Linked DNA regions of Bombyx mori. The protein of the gene in region 1 purifies or fractionates together with the protein of each later gene. This does not show direct contact. Links are inferred from orthologs where the notes say so. Each region holds a gene or a part of one and is shown in the gene's direction. Other genes may lie near its edges. The genes, in order: syntaxin-7, gamma-soluble NSF attachment protein and BET1-like protein.

Region 1 (6,425 bases):
AGAAATATTTATTTTCCTAAAATGTTATTTGAAAATATTACCTTCTTAACACCTGGTGGTGAGGAATCCAAAGTGAGCTTCCCTATAGCATGGTTAAGAGAGCGTGTGGGCGTCGAAGTTGAGCGACTCTAAAATTTATGACAATTAAAAAAAATCGCTTTCTTAAAATAATAATAAAAATTTAAAAAACAATGTCTTACCATGTATGTAACTAGCTTCGATTCTTGTGGAAGCCCGTTAGGCGGTGCGTATGGTAGAAATATTGATGGATCCATAATTTCAAAACTGCAGTGCGTCTGTGCAGTCTGCTGCAAAGAAGAAAAAACATAGTCAATAAATCAATAAAAGTAGCGTAGGTACCTACTTCACAGTTTTGTTCCCAACTTATGTAGGTAGTAAGCACTTTAAAATTGACCTACCTTAATTTATGATTCTTTTCGATTCACAGTTATTCATGACAATGAGAGTACCCCAACATGTCGTTATTAAGGGTTCAATTTCAACCAGACATATTTGGAAAGCTAGAATACTATATTAAATACGTGATAGAAATCAAACCCTCAAAAATCTAAAAACTACGTATTTCATTGTCTCAAAAGACGGGGCTTAAAGGCAATCTTTATTGATTCATTCACACAAAACACTGGGGCAGCAATTTTAATACAAAATTCACGGACTCTCAGAGACGGGGACACGAAGACAATAGAGACATTAAACAGGAACAGGTAAGAGATGAGTCCTAATACGTCGGTGAAGGTAGTGTGTACCAGTGTACGTACACTACAGTGAAACAGTCTTCCATAGACTAAAAAACATTACCCATGTAAAATGTAAGTCAACATTATAGAATCTAGTACAATCCGGGGTGTGTGAATTCGTTAGCATAACAATTTAATGATTTTCGACTTATTCTGATAAATTTACCCGTATTGGAATGAATCTGTTGTTTATGTGCAGTAAAAGATAAGAAACTGAAAAATACATAATAAGGTTTTTGTTAATTAAGTTGGTCTGAATCATCAATTTCTTGCATTAATTATTACAAAATATTTTAGTTTTCAAATAAAGTTTTTATGATTAAAAATACATTATCTAGGGCCGGTTTAATTAAAACATCATGCTAAGAAAAGAGTTAGTTATTTTTATATTTCACCTTGTTAGGTATTGTTAAGATTATATTTAATCTCGCCTTTTTTCTAGTTTTCTCATAATAGGTTGAAACCGTGCTACCAAGATCTAATGGTCGATTTTATAGCCGCCACTCATGATAAAAGGAGTTATAGGTTATTATTTTCATTTGAAAGTTTTCATCATTATATGTATGGTTTTATTTTTATTTTTAAAATATAGTTGATTTTAAAATTTTACTAATTAAAATATAAAAAAAATACTGTAAAACATCCATTATCCACTTTTTAGAGCATGGCATTCCAGCCTTCTAAAAGGCTTGCTTCGAACTATCTTGTGAGACGATGAGTTTAGATGGGATAAAAAATGACCCAGAAGTGGCTTAGCGGGGAAATTAATGTAATTCTAAGTCATTCACTCCATTTCATGACAAAAAGAGCATGACCCATTTACGAAGCCTTCAATAGTCTCTTACACTATATGATGTAATGGAAAAGCTTGTAAGGCCATACCAACAATGAAGCATTTTCTATCTTTAAATGCGCGATTGTATCAGAGTCTATTAACTGCTATCAGTGAGCTTTTTATTTTTTGAACTAGTCTATGGGCCAATATGTGCTGGCGACCAGCAGATTCTTAGTAAAAACGTGTCAATGTCATTCTGCAACGATTAGGGAAGATACGTGAATACGGTAGTAGTACCCTAGCCAGTTTTTTGCTGAAGATGATATATAGTGGGAAAGAGAGAGCCCTACTATCTCTATACCGATCTGATGTTACTTAAAGAGAAGGCATACATTTTGTAATAATTTTTTTTCAGTTTAAGCATTTAATAAATAATAAAATAAGTTTTCAAAAAGTTCAAGTATCCAATAGGTTCAATTAAATTGAAAACAGTAATCACGTCAGTGAGAGCTTTGGGAAAATTAAACATAATTGCATTGGGTTTTTAAAAAAATGCATTGAACTGTTTACAAATGCCCACCACGTTGTTGAGAGTTAATTAATTTAATTTTATCCAACTATTGCTCTGATGTCTTATGTCATATAATTTCAGTCCATTTAAAATTTCACATAACAGACACGCCTTCCGTCCTTTTTACAAAAAAATATCTATGGGCTCTGTTTTCTTTGCCTTTCTACAGAACAAATCAAACAAACAACAATCTGTTTTGTCAACTGTCATTTTTGATGAGTAATTTTGAGCAAGCAGTAACTGCAGTCCTATGATCAGCTCTAAACTTATCTGTAGTAAATGAGTAGCATATTCTGCGTTTGATTGTTTTCTATCATAGCTCTGTAGTGTATGGGAAGAAGAATACAAACCATTATTTTAATTAACATAAAACTATACATACTCACCATCTCTTTCAATTTATAGTGGGTAGGTACATGATTAATAACACTATATTTTCACGTTTACTTTCATTGTATATCGATTATTTATTGTTTATTTCGTAGTGAAAATGGAGGCGTCTTATCAAGGAGGTGTGTCATACGATGAGAATGGAGATAACTTTCAACGACTTTCTCAAACTATCGCCAGTAATATTAAGAAAATATCCCAAAATGGTAAGTGTTATTTTGAATGCTGAAATGTGAGATTAACGTATGTGAATCTAAGCCTAATATTAGAGAGATACAAAATTACTAGGAAAAATCAAATCAATTAGAAATTTTACTGATTAGAATCGTTCTTACTAAAGTTTTTCTAACATGTGTTTCAATATTTAATGTTTTAAGTTCTAAGTTAGACTACAAAACCCATAGATAGCACTGAGAATGCTGCCACCTTCAGGCTCCTGGAGTCTCAAGTGTTTTGAATAATGTTGGCTGTCTCACCATTCACTCTGGAACTTGAGACTACTTTGAGGCTAAAAGAGACAGGATCTTTCTATCATGCTTTTTTTCTAAAATGTTGAATTCGCTCATCGCCAAGTGATCTCCTTGCTATCATTATATGCCCCACTCTTACTTTATTATACCAATTTTATTTGAGCTGTCAATATTCATCTGAAATAATAATAATAATAAGGATTAACTTTGTACAACTGACGACCGCCAGTCTGGCGTAGGATCTTTCTATCATGCTTTTTTTCTAAAATGTTGAATTCGCTCATCGCCAAGTGATCTCCTTGCTATCATTATATGCCCCACTCTTACTTTATTATACCAATTTTATTTGAGCTGTCAATATTCATCTGTAATAATAATAATAATAAGGATTAACTTTGTACAACTGACGACCGCCAGTCTGGCGTCCCGAGGGGGAGGGTGATGGGAGAGATGTGCTCCGCACTAAACGCTTCACTTTCCCCCCTTTGCCTTGTCATGAGTTCTGTCTCATGCGAGGTTTGGACATTGGTTGTTGAGCGACAGGAGGTTTTAGTCAGTTCGACTCTGACATACCCTGCTCAGTATCCCCAGAAAATGGTGGAAGTCTGGTGATTTCCTGCTGACCAAAAAAAAAAAATGTTTTGTTTAGATTTATTGACTAAATGGTGTCTTAAAATTATTTAACTTGAATAATGCATATACAGTCAAAACCGTTTACTGCGACATCGTTTAATACGACATGCCAGTTATAATAACCAAGAACAAAGGTCCCGGCTGAATGCCATATGACCGCCTTATTAAAAATATTGCTTTCTACGACATTGCTTATAACGACATACCTCATAAAACGACCACATTTAACTAATATTTCGGAGAATTAGATCTGTTAGAACGACCGACTAAGCTGTATTGTAAACAATTTGAATAGGTATCCACATTTGTCTTCAATGGCTATTAAAATCAGGAAAGAAAACAATAGGATTTAGTTTAGTGTAGGGTCTTTTCTAATTCTTAGAAACAAAACACGTGCATGCAGTAGAGTCAAAGCCCGCTTCTTCATATCGCTTCAGTTAGTTTGTTACTTATCTATACACAAGACGCACCAAAACTTTGTGGAGTTATTCGTGAAACTTTCAAAATGTCGCAAAGAAAAAGAAAACAAATTAATATTGAAGAAAAATCGCGTATTATGTAAATATATTTTTCCAATAATTCCCTATCGATTTGTTTGTACTTTCACGATACACATTATATACATCACCGGTTGTTACGACTATCGGTTTTTACGACTTAATATGAGCAGTCCCTTCGATGTCGTTATAACAGATTTTGACTGTAGTTGCTATTTGTAAGTAAACAAATATAAATATTAAGAAAAAAGTTTTATGAAGTTAGATAAAATATATTAAAATTAGGATAATGTTTGTCCTTAAACATATGCAAAGAAAAAATCAGTCTACATCAAAAGTAAAGTATGCTTTATTGTACACCAATATCTGAACTTTTACTACATACATAATTGTTATGTATGTAGCTATATGTAATAATAAAAATAAAATAACACATGCACATGTGTACCAATCATATAAAATAAATAAAGATACAAAACGTTAAACAAAAGAACAGTGGTGAAATCACAAAGAGAGGCCTCTTGAAAATAGCCAATATGTGAGCAAGAATTTTTGAATGAAAGGAATTTACTGAGGTGTACTTATCAAATAAAAAAGAAAAACAGAATAGTATTTTAGTATTTACAAAATTCATCATTAAAAATGCATTTTGATAGTTATGTTTATACCAAAGCATTTGAAGTCTTATGTTAGAGCACAGCATATGCCAGTTTGATTTGAACAATTCTTTATGCATTTTTTTTTCTACCTATGCTGATAGCCTTGAGAGGCTATTTCAGCTTCACCCTAACGTTTGTAGGTGAGCTCGCGGGGCTCAACCGGAGAGTTGCTAACACTGACCCTAGCAAGAGCAGTGCTTCGCAGAATCTACCACCGGATCGGAAACGCGACCCACTGAGAAGATCCAGCGAGAAACTCAGTGGGCTGTGTCTATGGGTTTTTTGCATTTTGTCATTCAGTTATTTATGAAGAATCTTAAATAATTAATAACTAACATAAGTACTTTTAATAAATTTCAATATATAAAATAATAAAGCCTTTTGTTCAGACAACAGATTTACAATTATCTTTCTTATACTACTGCACTTTTATGTATTTAACACAATTAAAATTATTCACATATTTGGTGCTTCTTTACTTTCTGTAAATCCATAGGCTGTTGGCAAAGGCCTCCTCCAACCTACTTTATACTGATCTCTTTTGATCTTGTGTAATTGTTTTAAAAATTTTGCAATTGTTTTCTTATGTGGTTGGAGGATTGTGCTCCTTTTCTCCTGCAAGGACTTGTGGCTTGCAGGAAATTGTGTTATTTCTTTTGTTTGGTTTTCATAATTTGGTTGGATTATCCGTTTGGCGGCTGTTATTGGTTTTTATGTGTGAGGATATGAGTGGGAGGGTTTGATCGGATTCTCATCAAATCGAAGGCGTTTGTCCTGTGTGTTGTGGTAGCAAAGGCTTTCTCTTTTATGTAACTTCCTAAGCTACCAATATATAGATTCATTTTAAGCTCTGTATATTTAGTTTACTTCCATAAATAAATTAAGGTCTCTTTTAAAGTACTCTTTAACAGTTTGAAATAGTTCTAACATGGATTTTTCGAAATTGTTAATATGAATTATGGCAATGACTTTGGGAAATTACTCTTTTAATACTCATGTACATAATATAATATATAATATAATATAACTACTTTAGTTGTAGACGTAGTAGTAAAGAACTAGAAACAATATTACAGTGGTCTCCACAAATAAACAAAACCCATAAAAACTTGCTAGAATGTGCTATTTTGCAATGTGAAATTTAATTAACAATAAATTGGCTTTAGAATAACATTACAAATTAAATTTTATTTATATTTTAATCCTAAGAAGTATATCGTATTTCACAATTCTTAATTTAGTAGTATATATAATATACGTATACATACATTAGAAAATGAAATAAATTGATTGTATAAGGAAAAAGCAAATGAGAAAAATAGCTAAAACTTTTCACTTACTACCTATATAATTACTGTTGTACATTTTCCTTGTACATAAATCATGTTTTTATGTAGTTGAACTTCATTAGTGCTTATCAGGACTGTTAATATGATGGCTCTGTTAATTGAAATGATTATAATAATGATAAGAAACATTAAAATTTAAAATTAAAATTTGCTAAGCTTTAAGTTTTTCAGTAATTTTCAAAACTAAAAATGTTCCCTGAAATCTGAACTATTATTTTATATAATACTAGCGACCCGCCCTCGCTTCGCTTCGGAAACATTAAAACACACATGAAACCTAAAAAAAAAAAAAAAATTAAAAAAGTAGCCTATGTTCATCAGGG
Region 2 (6,303 bases), about 4.4 Mb from region 1:
TCCATTTGACTCCATACAGAGGAGGGCCGTTCGGATTGTCGATAATCCCGGTCTCACGGATCGTTTGGAACCTCTGGGTCTGCGGAGGGACTTCGGTTCTCTCTGTATTTTATACCGTATGTTCCATGGGGAGTGCTCTGAGGAATTGTTCGAGATGATACCGGCATCTCGTTTTTACCATCGCACCGCCCGCCATCGGAGTAGAGTTCATCCGTACTACCTGGAGCCACTGCGGTCATCCACAGTGCGTTTCCAGAGATCTTTTTTGCCACGTACCATCCGGCTATGGAATGAGCTCCCCTCCACGGTGTTTCCCGAGCGCTATGACATGTCCTTCTTCAAACGAGGCTTGTGGAGAGTATTAAGCGGTAGGCAGCGGCTTGGCTCTGCCCCTGGCATTGCTGAAGTCCATGGGCAACGGTAACCACTCACCATCAGGTGGGCCGTATGCTCGTCTGCCTACAAGGGCAATAAAAAAAAAAAAAAAAAAAAAAAAAAAAAAAAAAAAAAAAAAAAAAAAAAAAAAAAAAAAGATCGATTTATTATATAAATGGGTGAATCACTACATAGTATAAAACAAAGTCGCTTTCTCTGTCCCTATATCTGTCTGTCCCTATGTATGCTTAAATCTTTAAAACTACGCAACAGATTTTGATGCGGTTTTTTTAATAGATAGAGTGATTGAAGAAGAAGGTTTATATGTATAATAACATCCATTAAATAGTGGAGAAATCAATAATAAATTACAGTTTCCGAAGCGAAGCGTGGGTGGTTCGCTAGTTTATTATAATCCGATGAGACTTTTTGGCGGGAACACGAGGAGTGAAGTTGTGTGATTTGTTTTATGTTATCTATTTAGCGTTTCTTCATGTTTAAATGCGTAATAACGGTAGTTTATTAACTGTTTAGTATATGTGAAAGTGCAAAAATGTGGGGAAATGAAACAAAGCTGCTGGACGTAACTTCTCGTGATCCTTCAAAAAGCCTACTGAAAAAGTCTCAATAGATAACCACCATTTTACTGAGATTATATTTCATCCCATATCATCTCATCTCATTTCATTTAATTTCGTCTCAGTTGATTAACGTATTAAAATAATTATCTTCAATTAATTTCATTTCACTCCATATTATCATTTTTCATAAAAATAAGAATATAAATTAAAATAAGACTAAAGATCTAATAAGACTAGATCTAAAGGTCTTAGTTACCAGGTCATAATATCGCTTTAAAAAATATATATAATCCGATGGTGACACTCGAAATATTGATTAATTGTTTTACAGGAACATCATCGTGCCTACGACGAGGAGAATGAGGAATCTCCGTATGAGCCCGTCACTTACGGCCCCAAGAAGATCGAGGAAGAGGACGAAGACGAGGAGCTCTGCTAAATCAATTCGTAATAAACCCGTTTCCTTAACATCCGCTTCCCGAATACACACCTTAGACCACACACATAGCCCAGAGACTTTTAGGCGAAGAAGGCGTTAATGAATTCGAGTGGTGCTTCTTCCTTTGAGAAATTTATCGGAGGAGGAACTTAGTGATGGATTATGAGCTGTAACTGTAATTTATTGACGACACACAAACAAGACACAAGTTTATTTTTTTTCGTTACATGTCGAGTCAGCAATGTATAGCGCAGAAACCGCTAAGAGTCAATAGTCGCACGAGTTGCGTGATTTTAAATTTTTGTGTTGCCATTACATTGATGGATTTGAATCCAAACGTGACGTTGTATGATTATTGTTTAATCTCATACGATTTCTTTCTGTGATACATGAATTACCTTATTTTATTTCGTTTAATTAAAACACGCGCCGTAATTTGAATATTTTTTACGTTTGCCATCGAAAACACTACCGTCACACAATCGTACCATATCGTCTGATATGATGTGTTCCAACCTCTTATCTATCTTGCGTATTCTGTAAATTCGTAATGTTAAAGCGAAACGGGTTAATATACTAGTTACATTCCTCAGCTTAAGTAATTACGCCCATAGCGATTGAAACCTTCACTTTGAATGTATTCCGTAATCAAATATTATTAGATATTAGTATAAGGGGATAACGCCGTACATAATTGTATTACCGTAACGAAATCTAGCAACGCGTCATTGTCTCATATCGGATGACGTCATTAATCTTGTGATTGTGTTGTTTAGTGCAATATGCTATTGATCCGGCGGTTCCCGAACATATGTTATCATTAATCTTTAACTTAACATTTAATCATGTAAGTGTATGTATAAAAGATGCATCCTTTTGTTTAATTGTTTTGATAGTTAATTAATGTATAATACTTTTCATTTACGATTCTTTGTATGCTCAGTTTTTGTATATTAATTATATTTATGTACTTTTTTTTAAATAATTAAGTATGTTGTTAAGTTTTAATCGGTAATAGAATCTTAAATAGAACGACACTGTCCTAAATTCAGCCAGGCTAAGCGCATTTATACGAATCGTTAATCGAACTATTATTCAGTTGTGGTCTATGGATTTCCATTGACCATTCAACATCTCGAGATTAATGCGACAAATATTAAATACAACACCGTCCGTTCAATTAAGACCATCATCGACAACTAGTAAGTCGATTATTCGATCGTATGCATATGTTAAGCCCGAGCGTAACAACAGCAACAATAGTGAATTTGTTGGCATAACTTTAAAAAAAAAACTACTGCTGTAGCGTTGACAATAAAGAAACGTCAAACTTCAACTGCCTATTTAGAACTAAGAACAAGTCTGAAAACACGCACAAAAAGCGTAGGTATCGCTTGACGTGGCAAAAGGATATAATGTTTTGTCTTTTGTATTTGGCGTTTCAGCCGCTGCCTTTGAAACAGTAAGACTCGATAAAAAACTTAAATAGCAAGTATCGTAATCGTTTGAGCGTAGTAAGATTTCGTTCGTATGTATTTGATACTTTAGCCGCGGCTAACGTTTACAGCTTAAGTTTAATGAAACGATTGCTGGATTTACAAATGGAAGATTATTGTGCATTTTACGATACCGTAAAATGGGGCGATTAGGGACAAATTCCAACTTTATGAGCAATTTTAAGGTAGTTGTTGATGTATATAATGCTATATCAGGATCAAAATGGTTGAGTCTTGGGGGCATCTTTGTTGTCTAATTTAAAATTATGCAACTAGCATTCCAGTTTAAGCAAAAAATGCAAAAATAGGTGTAATCCCTATTTACCCGAAAATTGCGGTTAATTGGGACGAAATGAGAAATTTGCTAGGGTTGGCACTACTTTTATTTTTATATATAGTTTTAATTTATTTATTTATTTAGTTGCACCAACAAAGTGATCATCAATAAAAAAAATTGAAAACTGACAAAAGTACATGGCAGACATCACCTCAATTATAGGTGCAATCGACAGTGCATTAACAACAACAAAAAAATATATATATACATATATATTTATTTATACATATATAGTGGGCTTTCTTAGAAACGGTTTATATTTCTCCGTTCTTGGTAAGTACTTAAGGGCTGATATTTCTATCTGGGTTCAGAGATTAGGTGTGTCGGTTATTCCATGGATTAATCAGATGAATACTCCCACTCTGAACAAATATTAAATATTTTATTATGTATTACTTAGACATTTTGGTCCACCTTGAGATTTCATTGATCTTGTTACATGTCTCTGCAAAATCGACTTACTTATATTAAATTGCTTATCTATTTCAACTAAAGACTTATTCCCAATTTCGCTTCGAATAAACCAGATTTTTACCAACAAATTTAAATAATATTTTTATAACTACATAGACAACCCTACAAACCTGTACCTATTTATACTTAGGTCGTTTCCATTTCACGTATTCTCATCCCAATTGACCCCTTTTTCGTTGTTATTTATACCTAAAGCGTCCCCAATATCCCCAAAAACAACAGATTTTTACATGTATTTTTATTTGATCAAATACATTAAAACCAATAACAACTGAGACTTACCTTTAATATATATGCTGGTTCAAACACTAAATAACGTTTATAAATCATAGTCGTCTTCTATTATTATCAAATAAATAAAAGAGAGCAAAGTTTCTAGCACTAAAATAATTACCACCACAGGAAGTTAATTTGAAACGCGATTTTTTATAAGTTAGCAGCTATTATCATGCATATTCAGATTTGTTTTGTGAACTTTCAACATTCTACTATTAAACTACAAAAAACGGAAGATTTTGCAACGAATATAAAACTTATATTGAGCGTCGAAAAATTTTCCCGGTTTTTTCCCGATTCGCCTCTCAATCCCTAATCGCCCCATTTTACCGGTACTAGAATCTTTTTCTTATTCTTATCTATAAATTATTTGAGTGGCTATAAAACTTTTAAAATCCGAGTATGGCTATTAGGGCTATATAATCACATTTCAGCAACGACTAACTTCAGATTGTTCTATGCAAATGCACAATAATCGACGGACACATATTTAAGACTCTATTCGTGTAATTTAATATGAAATGCATCATTAATATAATATGAAACAATGTAATATTAACCACGCATCAGTGGGATATCTATAGTTCAAGTTCAATTTGCCGCGTTCAGTAAGTGCAGGCGTCAGTTTTAATGATGTATGAGTAAAGTGGAGAGCCCACTATATGTTCACTTTTATTAGTAATAAATGTAATCAATAGACCAGCGTTATTATTAAAACCTATCTTGTCGTTTATACCACTCCCATCACCTATCCTAAGTGGTCACACAGTATAATCTGAATTGAATTAAGATTTACGACCACCGCCCAGATGACCACCATACGACACAGCCCACTGAGTTTCTCGCCGGATCTTCTCAGTGGGTCGCGTTTCCGATCCGGTGGTAGATTCTGCAAAGCACGGCTCTTGCTAGGGCCAGTGTTAGCAACACCTCCTGGTTTGAGCCCCGAGAGCTCACCTACACCCTAGGGTTACGCAGACATAGCCTCTCAAGGTGGTACGGTAGAAAAAAAAAGAACCGGATGACGTCAATCTGCTTAAGAACATTTGTCAGCGAATTGCCAAATCATGTATAAGGTATGCCTTATTGAATGAAAACTCTGATTCCTAAGGTTCCTGATTCTAAAGGATTCCTAAGGATTCCTTTGAAACAAAAATTCCAAATCCAATTACATTTGCGAAGCCGACTTAACCTAATAGGTGCATGGCTCTAATAAACAAACAAAAAAAAAAAACATTTGTGCGGACTCTATCAAACGGAGTCGAAATATGAGGATCTATTACACAAATCTCACCAGTCTCACTCTTTCGGATAATAAAGATAAGTAAAGTAGAGGCATCACTTTATTCGAAGCGGAGATATGCAAGTCCCATAAAGCTTGATACGGTTATTAGGTAATTTGTCTTACTTGCAGTAACAATGATGGTTGAAGCTAACCTATTTAATGAAGTCAATTTGACCAAACTGTAGTATATTAATAATAAAAAATTAGGATTCCCTGTGTTATTGGTACCGGAGACTGCCATACTTACTGCAGCGCCCCTAGCGGCAAACGTAGGCAAACCTTCCAACTCCGTACATATTTTTTTCTCGGGCCGGGGGCCGAACCTTTTTTTTATTTATTGCTTAGATGGATGGACGAGCTCACAGTCCACCTGGTATTAAGTGGTTACTGGAGCCCATGAACATCTACAACGTAAATGCGCCACCCACCTCGAGATATAAGAAAACCTCATACGAGGTACCCACCCGCGTATGTTCGGCGACGACAGCGACGACTCCATATAAACTTGAGTAAACTTTTACGCTATCGAGAGCGTTAAAAATCTCGCACTAAGCACACTAATGTGTGTACCAAACCCACGACCCTCGGCGCAACAAACAGGGCCGCTAACTACTTCACCACCGAGATACTCTCGTGGAATTAATTACCTTTGCTTCATTGCTTGCATTGTTTTTTGAATGTAAGTTGTGTTTTGGTGTGCAATAAAGTGTATTCTCTGTCTCTCTCTCTCTTAGACGGGCGTACGAGCTAATTACTATGGAGATAGAACGTTAAAAAAACGTGTTCCATACTTACTCAATAGTTTACCCGAGGACATAAGACGTGAGCCTATACTTGCTAAATTTAAATAAAAAAACATTTGTTAAATACGTTGTAACCATTTACGTAAATTAATTGTGTTATTAAAGTATAAGCTAGTTGAATGGTTTATACGCTATGTTTGTATAAAGCGAGTTACCTGCAGTTAAACTGCGTAAGCAGTTTTGCGGGGAATGTTTTGAATGTAAGTGTAACTTTTTATGAATAAATATATTACATAC
Region 3 (4,816 bases), on another chromosome or scaffold:
TGACTTTTTAAATATGTTCGTCTTCTTGCCTAAACTACCTTCCTCCAAGTATGTTTTAGGAATACCGGCTCTAAAGCTGATGCGTTAGTCGCAGTGGTAACGATTAGGTACGTGGTAGTCGATCGTCAAACTGTTTTGATTTTTCTCCCTCAGAATGATAGTTTACGACATAATAAGTACTTTGCAGCGAAGCTGGGATGGTTCTCTAACATATTCTAAATGCTAATCGCCTATCTTATTTAATTATACATATTCTTGATGGACTACTCATCACATAATATTATTCATATGCTACTGTCATCATTTGAGTTTGTTTCAAGGATTATATGACTACTATTATTTAGCAGCAAAAAGCTAGGCATTCATTGAATAATGTTTTTTTTTAATTTTATATCTGCGTGAATAAAAACAAACTGAAATTAATTAGATACTTAATTCAGTAGAAAATATTAACAACAATCTTATGTATATGTAGATTTATAATTTTTGTTCAATCAGTTTTTCTATATTATGTTCTGAAATCAACTGCTATGTGCAATACATTCCCCTCGAGGCACATTAAATTTTTATGTAAGTAGTAATAAGAAAGCTTTATTCTTCGATAGTTACTGACTGTTAAAACTTTGTACAATAATAATTATTGAAAAATAAAATAATTGAGTATGTATGTAGCATGTTTTATTAAATTATTAATTATTTTGCGTTCTGCGTTCAGCGACTTATTAAAAGTTCACAAGAGAAGGTATATTATGTAAACCCGTTCCAACTTCCAAGCGCACGAATTCTGAGCGGCAGATGGGAAGTCGAGCACCAAGTCGAAAAAGCATGAAGTTCATGCGCGTGCAAAATCAAAAGAAAATGTTAAAAAGACGTTGTAGGGCCCGGGAATAGCTAATTAACGGCGGCTTAAAAGGGATAAGAAAAAGTTTGCAGGTTGAATTATCGTTTAATTACTTTGAAAGCATTTTCGGAAATACATTTTCTTGATTGAACAGATTAAAAACTTTTCATGCGATATGAGTGCGCCAATGCTTAATTAAACTGTTCGAAAAACCAGTTTCCATGTTTTTTTTTTAAAGGGCCTTCTGATATTATTATCAACGTTGAAAATTGTAATTTAAATAAAGTACGAATCACGACATTTTTTAAATCAAAGTGCCTCAACGTTGCGATGTAAACAAGAAATATTTATCTGCATAATCTACTTTCTAAATATAATTTTTTTAATTTATCTATAATAATTGTGAAAACCCACGATTAATTTGGGAAATTGGGCAGTATGTGTCCAGTCCGCACGGGTAGGTACCACCACCCTGCCTATTTTTGCAGTGAAACCAAGGTGGATGGTGCATTTACGTTGTAGATGTCTATGGACTCCAGTAACCACAAGACCAGGTGGGCTGTGAGCTCGTCCACCCATCTAAGCAATAAAAAAAATCAATATTAGTAGGTTTATTTATTTATTTTTTAGTTCTGAAGCTGATTGTCTCGTGAGTATTAGGAATTGCAATATTTTGTTTTTATATATGCTTCCACTTGTTCCTTAATTTTGTGGTCGTGCTCATCGTTAGTTACGTGTCACGGTACTGTAACACAGAATTCTCTGTGTTTCGCCTATTGCGGGATAGCCCTAAGTATTTTCCTTCATCAGCTCGTAGGATTTCAGTTCTACTATGTGACTGGTAGACTGAAAGATGAGCGTTGAAGACTTTTTTCTCTACCTAATCGCTGGTAGCCCTAAGGGTCTATTCCAGCTAATCACCGACTGGTAGGTGAGGTCATTCAATCTGAGAGTTTGCTAGCACTGGCCCTAGCAATAGTAGTGTTTCGCAGAATCTACCACCGGATCGGAATTGTAAACCACTGAAAAGACCCGGTGAGAAACCCAGTGAGTTGTGTCTATGAGCTAGTTCGCACGTCGAACTCTGACGGGAACGCGAGGAGCGAAGTTGTGTGAATTGTTCTATTTTGTTAATTTATAATAGCGGTGCTTTATTAACTGTTTAGTATCTGTGTAAGTGCACATTGTGGGAAAATAAAACAAAGCCACTGGACGTAGCTTCTCGAGTTCTTTCAAAACGTTCACTGAGAAAGTTTAAGTAAATAAACACCATTTACTGAGACCCGCATTATCAAGTTTCATTTAATTTCATCTCAAATGATTAAAATTTCAAATTAATCAACATTATTTCAATGCGGTCCATTAAATTTGTCATAAAACGAAATATGCATAATATTAGGAGACCTTCGTCTTTTCAGTTGGATAAATGGAGCTACTACTACTATTGACAGTTGACATTTGAGTCAGATAAACACGTAGGAGACTATCACATCTAACACAACTACATAAAAGCAAATTATATACTTACTGTAAACCATGTATGTTTTCAATGTGTCCAGATTATTAAATTAGTGTTTTTTTTTCATATCCTATTACAAATTGACAAAAACAAACAATATTTTATAGTAAATAGGCGGCAAGTAGATCCAAAATTAAATAAACGTCTAACGAAGGACGTAATTAACCAAGACCTGATTATCATCATCACTCTTGTGTCTTGCTGCTAATCAAAACGGCGGGCCGAACGAATATGAGGCGAGCCCGCGAAGGCTACCACTATCAGCCAGTGCCCAGAGTAGCTACGGAAGATACTATCGAAAATGAAAATGAACGAATGGCTGAAGAACTCAGTGGCAAGATATCTTCACTTAAATACATTTCCATTGAGTTAGGCAATGAAGTAAGGGACCAAGAAAAACTTTTGCGTGGATTAGATGATGATGTTGACAGAAGCTCAGGTTTCCTTGGAAAAACCATGGGAAGAGTTTTAAGGCTTGGCAAAGGGAACCACAACTATTATATTTTCTATCTATTCCTCTTCTCCATTTTTGTGTTCTTTTTGTTGTATATTATTTTAAAATTTAGATGATTTTCATTACCCATCCATCACTCCTGTGTATTATAAGTGTTTCGAAATAAATTTTGTATATGTTGAAATGTAAATAAAACATATGTATAAATTAAATGTTTATTTTATTTCACTTATTCCACAACTTTTACAATATGTTTCAATGATAAGTACTAGCTTGCACAGGTAGGTGTCAACATTTAATTTTTTCCTTCACTAAGTAACCATATGTTGTTTGAAGGACAGCCATAATAAAATACAATTGAGCCTTTAACCTTAGCTCTAAAGATAGTCAGCGGTATTTAAGTTTTGATTGTTATCTATAGGCTTAGGTATCCACTTAACTCACTCACCTACTTATGCAACAAATAAGTATAATACTTAAAATGATGCTCATATGTGATCATTAGTAAGTATTCCCTATAATAATTATGCTAACTAGTTTTTAAACTTCAATCAAAAGTATAATTCTTTTAAGATTTTACAAAAATCATCGCCTACAACTTCTTTACTTACAGCAACAAATAAATTACATGGCTTTCCGAGTGAAACAGAACAGATCCGTACACTGTCCATCAACAGAGCAATAATCCCATAAATGTTTTGTTGGTTGTTTCTACTGAAGAACTTGCTTAAGTCATCTAAAATAATTGTTGAGGGCACATTCTGCCAATCTGGTAGTGTTGAAACACTGTCTATAAGTGCTTCAATAGTTTCTACATAAAGAAAACTAATCATTTTCATGAAATGTCTATTCACTGAATTTAAATCTTGTGATAATGTGGGTAGCTGACTTAATTCTTCATGGAGAATATAAAGAACTCTTCCGTTTTCTGCACTGGATAAAGCTTCTTTAAAAAGATTTATTCTGTTTAAACTTGTTTCTTCAAAGTAGAATTGTATTTTGTTACCTTCCATAGCAAATACATTCAATTTCTGAAGTAGCTAATATAAACATCAAAATGCGCTATCTAAAAATTTGGCAAAAATAACAAGAAATAAGCAAGTAAAAAGTATTTTCATTTATGTTTATTTATAAATTTTAGTGCCTATTTCAAATACTTAGGTCATCTTTTCTCACTAAGTAATATGTATTATGTATCTCACATCTCTTTCTATTTAGTTCACACATTAATTTATTAGTTTTTTTTTGGTTCTGGCACGTTTTGTGTATTAGCCAGTGTCAAATAATAATATTTTTATAATTCGCCGTTTTAATTATTTACAGTTTATGAATAATAAAAAACGAAGGAAACTGTCCGTGTTAACCATTATTAATATTAGTGTAAGTTTGAATGAAATTAGCAGCGTGGTACGGTATAGATAATTGATGTTGAGAAAGTAATTTGATTAATGTAGTAATTAACTCTGCACATGATAATATGAAGTGAAATGTAATGAAGTTGATTAATATTATTAAACATGGCATAAAATGAAATGAAATGAGATGAGACGAACGAGATGATATGGATGAAATATAATCTCAGTAAAATGATGGTTATTTACTAAGACTGTCTCAGTGGACTTTTTGGGGGATCCCGAGAAGTTACGTCCAGCGGCTTTGTTTCATTTTCCCACATTTGTGCACTTTCACAGATATTAAACAGTTAATAAACCACCGTTATTACACATTTAAAGCTGGCGAAACACTAAATAGACAAAATAAAAACAAATCACACAACTTCACTCCTCGCGTTCCCGCCAAAAAAGTCACTGAGCCGTTAGTATTACACCGGTCACTCACATGCGCACGAATACGCAAACCCGCAGGTGTAGGACGACATTTGCGAATGATTATGCAAAGTTTTCGCTGCATTCGTGATTTTCCAAGCTGTGTCGGTTTTTTAACAGACATCAAAGCGCGCGAACCCGTTTGCGCTTCCTCCTACACTTGTTTACGAATGTCT

The links.
Region 2: the proteins of syntaxin-7 (region 1) and gamma-soluble NSF attachment protein purify together in Homo sapiens (affinity purification with mass spectrometry; 3 studies listed by BioGRID and IntAct, counting the BioPlex papers as one, with this or other methods). This does not show direct contact. The link is inferred for Bombyx mori from reciprocal best matches to the Homo sapiens genes STX7 and NAPG.
Region 3: the proteins of syntaxin-7 (region 1) and BET1-like protein purify together in Homo sapiens (affinity purification with mass spectrometry; 3 studies listed by BioGRID and IntAct, with this or other methods). This does not show direct contact. The link is inferred for Bombyx mori from reciprocal best matches to the Homo sapiens genes STX7 and BET1.

The regions. Positions count from the first base shown.
Region 1 is NC_085107.1:5,738,176-5,744,600, forward strand, and holds the start of syntaxin-7, read left to right. Parts: upstream 1-2,311; 5' UTR 2,312-2,512; intron 2,513-2,589; 5' UTR 2,590-2,594; coding exon 2,595-2,700; intron 2,701-6,425. Other genes in the region: PAN2-PAN3 deadenylation complex subunit PAN3, read right to left, coding at 42-128, 201-275. UniProt on the Homo sapiens protein: May be involved in protein trafficking from the plasma membrane to the early endosome (EE) as well as in homotypic fusion of endocytic organelles. Mediates the endocytic trafficking from early endosomes to late endosomes and lysosomes.
Region 2 is NC_085107.1:1,351,830-1,358,132, reverse strand, and holds the end of gamma-soluble NSF attachment protein, read left to right. Parts: intron 1-1,287; coding exon 1,288-1,395; 3' UTR 1,396-4,675; downstream 4,676-6,303. UniProt on the Homo sapiens protein: Required for vesicular transport between the endoplasmic reticulum and the Golgi apparatus.
Region 3 is NC_085114.1:8,352,076-8,356,891, forward strand, and holds BET1-like protein, read left to right. Parts: upstream 1-2,308; 5' UTR 2,309-2,591; coding exon 2,592-2,930; 3' UTR 2,931-3,023; downstream 3,024-4,816. UniProt on the Homo sapiens protein: Required for vesicular transport from the ER to the Golgi complex. Functions as a SNARE involved in the docking process of ER-derived vesicles with the cis-Golgi membrane.